2 linked regions of the Rattus norvegicus genome follow. The protein of the gene in region 1 purifies or fractionates together with the protein of each later gene. This does not show direct contact. Links are inferred from orthologs where the notes say so. Each region holds a gene or a part of one and is shown in the gene's direction. Other genes may lie near its edges.

The links. The genes of interacting proteins can lie anywhere in the genome.
Region 2: the proteins of Asb9 (region 1) and Cul5 purify together in Homo sapiens (affinity purification with mass spectrometry; 6 studies listed by BioGRID and IntAct, counting the BioPlex papers as one, with this or other methods). This does not show direct contact. The link is inferred for Rattus norvegicus from reciprocal best matches to the Homo sapiens genes ASB9 and CUL5.

The regions. Positions count from the first base shown.
Region 1 is NC_086039.1:33,621,319-33,626,175, reverse strand, and holds the start of Asb9 (ankyrin repeat and SOCS box protein 9), read left to right. Parts: upstream 1-1,818; coding exon 1,819-1,900; intron 1,901-4,857. UniProt on the Homo sapiens protein: Substrate-recognition component of a cullin-5-RING E3 ubiquitin-protein ligase complex (ECS complex, also named CRL5 complex), which mediates the ubiquitination and subsequent proteasomal degradation of target proteins.
Region 2 is NC_086026.1:62,958,965-62,964,100, reverse strand, and holds the start of Cul5 (cullin-5), read left to right. Parts: upstream 1-1,672; coding exon 1,673-1,696; intron 1,697-5,136. UniProt on the Homo sapiens protein: Core component of multiple cullin-5-RING E3 ubiquitin-protein ligase complexes (ECS complexes, also named CRL5 complexes), which mediate the ubiquitination and subsequent proteasomal degradation of target proteins.

The DNA.
Region 1 (4,857 bases):
CCTGCACTCACTCTGTAGAACAGGCTGGCCTCAAACTCAAGGAGATCCTCCTGCTTCTCCTTCTGGAGTGCTAGGATTAAAGGTGTGTACCACTACTTCCGGGCAAGGAATTGCTTTTGGCACAATGTGAAATACAGTGGAGAATAAAGAAATTAGTATAGTTACATGTGAGACAGTGGAAAGCGTTCCAGACTAAGTGTAAAAACTATTAGACGGGATGTTAATCTAACTAAGCTGGAGTAAAACTGTGCATGGGTAAGTGTGTATGCACAAAGGAATGCGTTAAAATTATGAAAGGCACTGTAAGATGTGTCAGTGCACACGTGTAATCTTAGCCCTCTGGGAATGGAGGCACGTTTGCAACAAGTTTGAGGCTAGCCTGGCTATATAGTGAAGTCAAGGCCACCCTCACAGTCAGTCATACTCAGTCTGAACAAAGCAAGCAAGCACACCTTTGCTTGCACGCAAAGCGGTTGAAAAAATAGTTATAAATGTTTCAATTGAGAAGCCAAACATCCCAAAGAGAAACAAATCTACAGCGTTTGGAAGGGAGCTGGGGCTTGAGAGCAGCTCTGAGGCTTCAGAGGATAAGGCATTCTCTTCAACCTGCAAGAGAGGAAAAGTGGGAGTCTTTCCTGAGCAAGTGAAGTGGAGCATGAAGTTTCTTGGTGTAGGAGAGTGCCTTGGATGGTGAATAGACTGGGAGGGGGGGCTGGCAGGAAAAGCAGCAAGCTGTTGAGACCAGGAGGCTCTGGTCCCACCAGGCTCCTTTCAAACCCATGGATGGTGGCAACATGAGTGATTGACTGAAACCAGCACCTGCGAGTCTGGTGGAAAATGGAAAGAAGTCACCCATATTGAAATACCATTCACCGAGGCAGACTGAGGGTACCTTAACAAAGCAGTAGCCTTCATAAGGAAAGATAGCAGCTCTCTCACACCTGTGGTGACCCTGTCGAACATTCTTCTCCATGCAACCATTCAGCATTTATTTGTAAGTTAAATCCAAAAGTGTTCAGGAAGGACAAAAATGGGCAAGGAATTAACTTGCAGGATGCTCCCCCAGCCCCACCTCCATTGGAAAACGATTTTTTTCTATCCCTCTCCCACCTCTACCCCTTGCACTTTTTGTAACATACAGACACATTTTTCCATAAGACACTCCCAGCAAAATTGAAAACACATGTGCAGATGGCCAGGCTGGGCTGTGCATGTTCCTGTACGAGCAGTTTCTCTGAGCTTCTGCAAAAGCAGCCTTCTCAGCTCCTGGATGCTGAGGCTTGTCTTAGTCCCCAAAGTAGCAAACAGATCTCTGCTGCTGTAACAACTTCTTCCTATATAACAACCCGGCTGCCTCCATTCTCCAAAAGTTACATAGTGTGGATTTCCTTCCTGATAAACGCTAAGGCTTGCTCCTTGATTGGTCTCAGTTATAGGAAAGGGCGTGGTATCAGCAACTTTTCAGACTTGAGACTCGGGGGGCTGTTGTGTACTTTGTCCAGTCTCCAGCACGCTAGGTGGAGTGTGGTGGTGGTGGTGGTGGTGGTGGTGGTGGTGGTGGTGGTGGTGGTGGTGGTGGTGTGTGTGTGTGTGTGTGTGTGTGTATGTGGCTGTCTGCATGAGAATCTGTTTGACCACAGGTAGTGCTCACATTACCCTGCCTGTGTTGTTCTCTGCTGCAGACTGCCTGGACCAGGACGTGTGCAGTTCGACCAACCACAGAGCTGGAATTTCCCAGGGGCACCAGAAGCATGGCATTTGAGTTTTCCTGAGCAACCGAAGTGGAACATAAGAGTTTGCTGGCCTAGGAAGATAAACATGGATGGCGAACAAGGGGGCAGGAGTGACAAGCCAGGAGGCTCTCCTCACCTCAGATTTCTTTCAAACCCATTGATGGGGGGTGAGTCATAGAAGATGGGAAATGGGAGTGCTTGGGAGGGTGGTTAATGTGCTCAAGAGAGAGCAGGGAGCTGGACTCTGTCAGTGGGTCTTTCTGTGGGGTGTCCACAGAAGTCCAGAGTTTGTTAGTCTTCATCCTCTATGTGATTATTCAAAAAAGTACCTTTGTCTGTGGCATCATAAAGGTGAGACAAATTTTATTATCACAGAGCATTTTCTAGTGGTGAAAACTTTTGCACCAAGAAGTCACTCACTCTTTTGTGGGTCAGGTGTATTACTTATTAAATAAGAGGTTTAAGAGTTACTTATAAGTAGCTCTGTTTCACTCTCCTGTGTAGTTCAGGTTGACCTTAAAGTCATAAGTCATTATCCTCTTGTCTCAGCCTCTGAAGTGCTGAGATTACAGGGCTCTCTCTCTCTCTCTCTCTCTCTCTCTCTCTCTCTCTCTCTCTCTCTCTCTCCCTCTCGTTCTCTCGCTCTCTCACTCTTTTGCTTGCTTCTTCCCTCCTTCACCCCTCCCGTCTCTCTCTCTCTCTGTGTGTACCACATAGTCTTAATAGGAACACTGTAGCTGCTAAAAAATTCTCTTAATTAAAGTTCCTTTAGATATTTCATATTTAGTTAATCTGAGTTTCTCAAGGATATTGGCTGGTTGATTGCCTTTAAAAATGAGACTTTTAAAACTATGCAAAGATTTCCTCTAGGCTGATGCATTGGCTAATAAAGACTCTCCCACTTTCATTCACTCTCATTCTTCTGGAACATTCAGCAGTTTCCAGATGAAGGGATTCTGGGCCTAAGCATACAAAGAGACAGTATCACATTTAGAACACTGTTAGGCTTCCCACAACACTTTTCTATTAGAAGCACAATAAACAGGTTCGAAAGGCCTCCAGGACTTAATGATGTCTTTCTGTGCAGCTTTGTAAAAGGAAAACAACAGAAAGTAGACAATGCGATATGCCTTCCCTCTCTGGTTGAGGTGACAGGATTGCACATTTTTTGTTTGTTTTTTTACTTACCCATTTCCCCCCCAAAATGTACAGGGTGAGTGGGGCTTCCATACACAGACAAAACTGAATTAATTAGCATGAATTGAGTACACATTTAGTATAGTAGAAAGGTAAACTGGAATCAAGAATCACTTAAAACAGGCTTGTTGAGTATTTCAATGCAGCAATCCAATCACTGTTGGAAACAATAATTCAGTAGCGTTCCAAATAGGTATTTTGCAGCAAAGTCTTGTGTTCTTATTTTTTTTGTATGTGGAGAGAGAACTAGCCCCCTTTTCCTGGATGGTTGGTATGCTGCTTAGAAAGTGGACAGGTTGTTCCAGCTAGGATGTAGAGTATCTCGAGGAGTCAATTTAATGAGAATTAATTTGGAGAGATGGAGCTGGATGGTGAAATGTGTGTGTGTGTGTGTGTGTACATGAAAGTCAGCACATATGTTATAGTTGAATGTGTAGGTAGAGGCCAGAGGTCAAATTGGGTATCTTCTACTGCTTTCTACCTTGCTTTCTGAGACAGGGTCAGTGTTTCACAGAACCTGAAGTACACTGTTTGGGATAGACTGGATGCCAAGTGAGCCCCCAGGATGTGCCTCTGTTGTTCTAGCAGTGGGGGTAAAGGTGTGTGCGCCTATGCATGTGTTTTTCCATGAATGTTGGGCATCCGAACTCAGATCCTTATGCTTGCAAAGCAGGAACGTTTTTCACTGAGCCTTCTCCATCACCACAGAATGGTAAAGCTTTTACATCTGTGTGAAGGGATTTAGGCTTTGTGAGTTGGGGAACTGGAAGTCACTGATGGTCCTGAGGCCATAGTGAAGAGTATGAGGAGATTAGTATAGTACCCCAGTTAGAATAAATCATGAGCTATGCAGAAAACGACAGACTTAATCCATTGGTTCTCACTTGCCTCAGTATCGCCTAGAGGCGTTGTTAAAAGGAAGGTGTACGGCTGCTGAGGAAGTGACTAGACTGTGTTGAAGCTTGGGTATCTTCATCCTCAGGCAGCCTCTACATGAGGTTGACTGGAATTTTCAGACCCCATACCTTAAGAACCACTGCGCCAACCCAAGCGTACAGCTGGTAACCTGGGTCAAGCTTCAGATATGATGGAGTAAGGACTTTCATTCTGAAGGCAAGAGAAATTGGATTGTGCCATTTGTTTCAATATTGAGGCAAATTGGGAGAAACCATCTTAAATTGTGAAGTTTGTTTTAAGCCTCAAATTAGGTTAGCCAGAAGAGCTAGATAAGAGGGAAGCTAGAAGGAGAGCTGGCTTAGTGTGGTGAGAAATGGGGGAGTACAGAGTTTTATTTCTCTCTGTTATATGTACATGCTTGTGCGAGAGTGTCTACGTGCATCCGTATGTAGAATATATGTGAACGTCAGAAGTCAATGTCGTGTGTCATCTGGAATCTCTCTGCACCATAATTTTGTAAGACAGGGTCTCCCACTGAAGTTGGAGCTTGCTGATTCAGTAACTATGACTGACTATAGCGCGCCAGGGATCCTCCCTGTAACTGTCTCCCTAGCGCTGGTATTATAAACACATTGGTACAGTTTTTTTAATGGGATGGGATGCTGTGGATCTGAATTCATGTCCTCTTGCTTATGTGGCAAGCTGCCTTAAAAAAAATCAACGGACTGTCTCTCTAGCTCTCCAGGGGTTCTACTTTTGACATAAAACTGTTAGTAACATTGCCTAATCCACATAGCCTGGTGGTATGGGGCTAAGGTTGGAAATGAATACAGGTTGAGTGTGAGAAGCCTCAGAATGTTCTGCAGAAAGCTTGTGGTTGAAACTCAGTGAATGGAAAATTTTTCCAATGGCCAAGAATTGGTACATGAGGGTCAGTAAGTTAGACCATAAAAACAGGAAGGGATTTCTGATGTTACTATTCCAAGGGACCTAAAGGCATAACAGTTTTCAAAGACATGAAAAAGCACAG
Region 2 (5,136 bases), on another chromosome or scaffold:
TTAGATGTTTTAATACTAATTTCACCAACAAGAGAACTAAGGCTCATTGTGGTCAAGTAAAGCATTCAAGGTCTGAGAAGTAGATCTTAACTCATTTTAAGCATTGTGTGGCGCTAATTGGTCTGGAAGTCAGAGTGCTGAAATTAAAGGTATGTTCCACCACACCCTGCCCGAAGCAGAGATAAGGAAATTTTGGCCATTTCGGAGGGGAGCACATACCTATAATTCTACCAGTCATTCTGGAGGCAGAGAAAGGCAGATCTCTGTGAGTTCTAGGTCAACCTGGTCTACATAGAGAATTCTTGGCCTTCCAAGAATAACATAGAAAGACCGCTTCAAACAAAGCTACCTGGAATGCTTGGGGCAAAAGGAGATTTCAGGCTTAATATATGAAATAAAATCCTTCAGAGTAGAGCCTGAAAGTCTGCTTTTCTAATTAGCACCTCAGATTAAGATGAACAATGTATTAGCAATGTTTGAGAAGCTTTTGGTTTTTTTGTAGCCCTGGCTGTCCTGGAGCTTGCTCTGTAGATCAGGTTGCCCTCAATCTTACAGAGATCCTCCTGCCTCTGCTTTGAGTACTGGGATTAAAATTGTGGAACAGTGAGAGATGAGTTTCAAAGAAACAAGTTTGACACCAGGTGGTGGTTTCCCACACCTTTAATTCCAGCACTTGGGAGCCGAGGCACCTCCAGTATAGCCAGGGCTATATAGAGAAATTCTGTCAAAAACCAACCAACCAAAGAAACAAACAAACAAAACCCAAAAAGAACAGTGCTAGGAACTTGCGTAATGCATTAAATTACAGCTAAACGGAGATAACCCTGTATAAATTATATTGTCTTCCCTTGATCAGAGATTTGTGATCTGAAGCGATGCAATTTGGAGAAAATACTGTAGGGTGCTCTAGGATATGTCTTAAGGAGTCCAAGATTAATAATCACTTCTTGAACAAGCCGGGCATTCTTTTTTTAGCGGAATAACAGCAGGTTTGTGCATCAGTCACCAAACAAATAATATACCGGGCGCCTTCTCCATGTCAGCATTTGCGGAGGACAGCAGTAAAAAGCCTTCCAGGCTAATCTAATCCAGAGCTCTGAATAGCAATCCCGATCTGGGGCGAGCGCGTGAGGGCTGCTCCGGCTCCAGCCAGCAGAGGGCGCACTCCCACCCTCCGCGCGGCCTCGGGACCCAGTGGCTTGCTATCGCCTGGGTTGCTCCCGAGCACGCCCCCGCCCGCCGCGTCACGTGACACCGCCACGGAACCTGAGGTGCGGGCCCTAAGCCGAGCTAAAGTCGTTGCTGGCGGCCGGGGCGGGTGCAACCCCAGAGGCAGAACCGAAGACGAGTTGGGGAGGCCCGGGGAAGTCGATACTACCTCTTCCCGGTCAGGTCGGCTCCCTGTCCCTTCCCACCATTCGCCGCTCGCGTCTCTTTAAGCGTTTGCATGCGCTCTCTCGCGTGGGCAGGCCGGGGTGACCATGTAGCGGGAAAGCCCGAGGAAGCACGGGTGCCTGGGACGAGCTCAGCGCTGACGGCACGCCGCTCCGGCGTCCCCTGCATCCCTCGCTGCGGCCTGCGGGGTCCTGCTGGGAACCCCGGCCTCTCGAGGAGGCCTGGCCCCGAGAGCCGCCAAGTCTCGCCGCGTCTCGCGAGAGTCCAAGTTGAGAACATGGCGACGTCTAATCTGTTAAAGGTAAGCCCCTGACTGCAGCCCGGCTTCTGCTCGGTGACCGACGCGTTCAGCTCCTGGGGAAGGACCGGGCTCCGTGTGAGCAGCGAGATGTGAGAGTGTTTCGGGGTTGTCCACCGGAACGGGAGCCGGGGTGGCTGTTGCCCGAGCACACGGACGCCGGGCCCTGGCCTCGGGGTCCAGAGGATCTGGTGGTTCCTCCCGCCGGCTGATTGACTGACTCGGAGCGATGCTTTCAGGGGATCAACCCAGGCTGGAAGCGAGAGCAGTGTTGCTGGGCCCGCACCAACCCGCCATTGTGACTCTTGGGGTCCGTTTCTTCTGGATGGAGTGTCAAAGACATAACAGGGAAAAAAAATCCCAACAAAATGCTACCTAGCAGGTTTCAGTGGCTTAACTCCCAACCCCATTTTTTAATTTCTGTTCACACTCTGGTCTGCAGGAAATGCGAGCCAGACAGCAGTGCCTACCACTTCACCCCCTTTCTCCCTTTTCTGAATGTTACACCTTCCCTTCAGTTCTCTCACGCTTGACTTCCTATTTCCACCTCTCTTCTTTCTTTCCTTCCTTCTTTCTTTCTTTCTTTCTTTCTTTCTTTCTTTCTTTCTTTCTTTCTTTCTTTTTTTTCCTTGAGGAACTGTCTCCCAGCCCCGACCTCCCATGTAGGACATCAGGTGGCATCCGATAAAGTTCTACCATTCTTTTAGAGTGTAGAAGAGTTTTCATTAAAGAAAGCATTGAGAAGTTTTTAAATACCAGGAGAGGCTCAGGGCAGGCAGATTGATAAAAAATGAGGACTATGATAAAGACATGAGTCAAGTTTGTGTTTTTAGTAAGAATTCTGTCCTAAAGCACTAGCTGAAATGGGGCTAGTGATGACCTGAGGGGACATAAACATATGTTCTCAGGCTGTGTGAATGAATAATAATAATAATAGAAAAGGCTCCTCTCCCCTAAAAGGGGTCTCATTGACCCCATCTTGGCCAGAACTTTCGATGTAGCCCAACTGGCCTCGAACTCACAGAAATCCTTTGTCTGCACTGAGATTGAAGGCCTGCAACACCACTTGAGGGGTTCCTTAAAAGGTCTTCCTGAATTTCTATCTCTTGGGTTTTTGAGACAGGGTTTCTCTGTGTAGCCTTGGCTGTCCTTGGATTCTGTAGACCAGGGTGGCCTTGATCTCTGAGATCCTCTGCTGACCCTCCCCACTCCCAATAATGAAATTAAAGGCTTGTGCCACCATGCAGCAAGCCATGGGTTGAATTTCTGTCTAACAGCTGTATGACTTTGAGCTAGTTCCCTAACCTTAACAACTTCTTTGACCAAGTTTCTTCCTCCATTTTTGGTAGTACTTTTGAGAGATGAACTATGTAAAATGCCTAAAAACAGCGACTGGCACTTAATATCAGTACGCTAAAGCACTAGAAGAACCATTTGAAACTGGGCCTGGTGGTATTGGTCATTCCCAGTATGATGTGGGTCACTGAGGCAGGAGGACCTAGCCCAGACTAGGTTATGTAGTGAGTTGAGACCAGCTGAGGCTACATTATAGACTAATTCGCAGGAAAGATTTACTCTACACGGTTATGTTTTTCAAATTTTCTAATGTGTACATGAGTGCAGACATGCCAATAGAGGTCAAAAAAACAATTTTTTTGTCTTTTGTTTTTCAAGGTAGGGTTTTTCTGTGTAGCCCTGACTGACCTGGATCTCACCCTGAAGACCAGGTTGGCCTCAATAGGATCACTTGCCTCTGCCTCCCGAGTGCTAGGATTAAAGGCAAGCATCACTGATTGGCTAAAAGAACAACTTTTGGGAGTTTTCCCATTCTGTCTGGGTTCTGGAGCTCAAACTGAGGTTGTCCGGCTTACTGGCCCCTAGGGTTTTGGGGGTTTTTGGTCTTAATGTATTTTATTAATGTTTTGAGAATTTCATACATGCATATAGTGTACGTTCATCATGGTCACTCCCACTCCAACCTTAATTTGCTTAGTGTGTGTATATGTGGGAGTGTACTGTATGGTTGTTAGAGATCAGAGGACAGCTCTGTGTGTCAGTTCTCTCCCTCTATCCTTAGGTAGGTTCTGGAGATGAAACTCTGGTTGTCAGGAGACTCATACAATAAGCACTTCATCCTCGGAGCATCTCTCTGGACACCTCCTGTAGTCCTGTGCTTTCGCTTAGGATGCTCTCAAGACCCATACTAATGTACTCACACCTACATAAGCAGTGTTTTATGTTATTTCTTGAATTGTGTTTAAGAAATAATTGGGTACCTGGTTCTTTGTAAACTTTTGACCTGTTCATTACTTGGCTAACTATGAGGTACAACCTACAATTTCCATCCCAAGTCCTTAGGAAAGTCAATATTCTCCGTAGGACCTTTAGGAAAATAAACACAGTATTCCAGTCACTAGTGTTTGTTATCTTGAGGAAATTATAAATCTTTATCTGTAGTTTATACACATAAAATGGAAAAGCCTACCTGACTGGGCTAGGATTAAAGATCACTAGGATTTTTAAAGCTCTGCATTCAGATAGCACACACCTTTATTCCCACATTCTCGAAGCTAGGCAGGCTGATCTCTGAATCCAGGCCAGCCAGGGCTGTCATTAGAGCCTGTCTCAAAACCAGAAAGAAAAAGTACTGTAACTTCGTAACAATACATTGGAAAACTTGTAACTGACTCAGTGAAGTCAGATGCCAAATATGAATTTTCAAAAAGATGATTTTGTGAGATAATGACTGTGAGAAAAAGCAGATGTCCTAAATGAACAGTATTTATTTTTGAGGCAGAACTTTGTAGCTTTGGCTGGCCTCAGTACTCAACTATTTAGACCAGCTTAGCTCAGAGAGGTTTGTAGAGGGCTGGGATTCAGGTATTCCCCACCAGGCCTGGCCTATAGTCTGATATTAGGTAGCTAGTACTGTTGTAATATGAAGGACATAATAAACAGACATTTGATTCTGTTATCAATCTACATTTACCTATTTGAGTCATTGGAACTTTTGAGGGAGGAATTCCAAATACATTTTGAATAATAAAATGGGGAGGCTGAAGTTTGTCTTTGGAATATGTGAGGACCTGCCAGGGTCCATCTATGATGTAATTTATGAGATAAAGCAGAGCTGTTACACCTTGAGTAGATATAGGATTTACTGGGGAGTGGCCAAATTAGCATATTTTTTGGTTGGATTAGTATATTGACTTATTAGAGAAATGCCTTGGACTTTTGCAAGTAGATCTTACCAAAGAGAAAATTGTCATGTCCATCAGTCAGAAAGGGAAAATGTAGGCCAGATAAGACCAGTTTGAGTCATGACCAGATCTACCAACTGTACCTGAAACACACTGAATTATGAGCCAGATCGCTTCAAGGGGGTAAATCCCCGTTTACTTGTGACTTGAAGCAAGGTGGTATTTTTGTTTTGTTTTATTTGT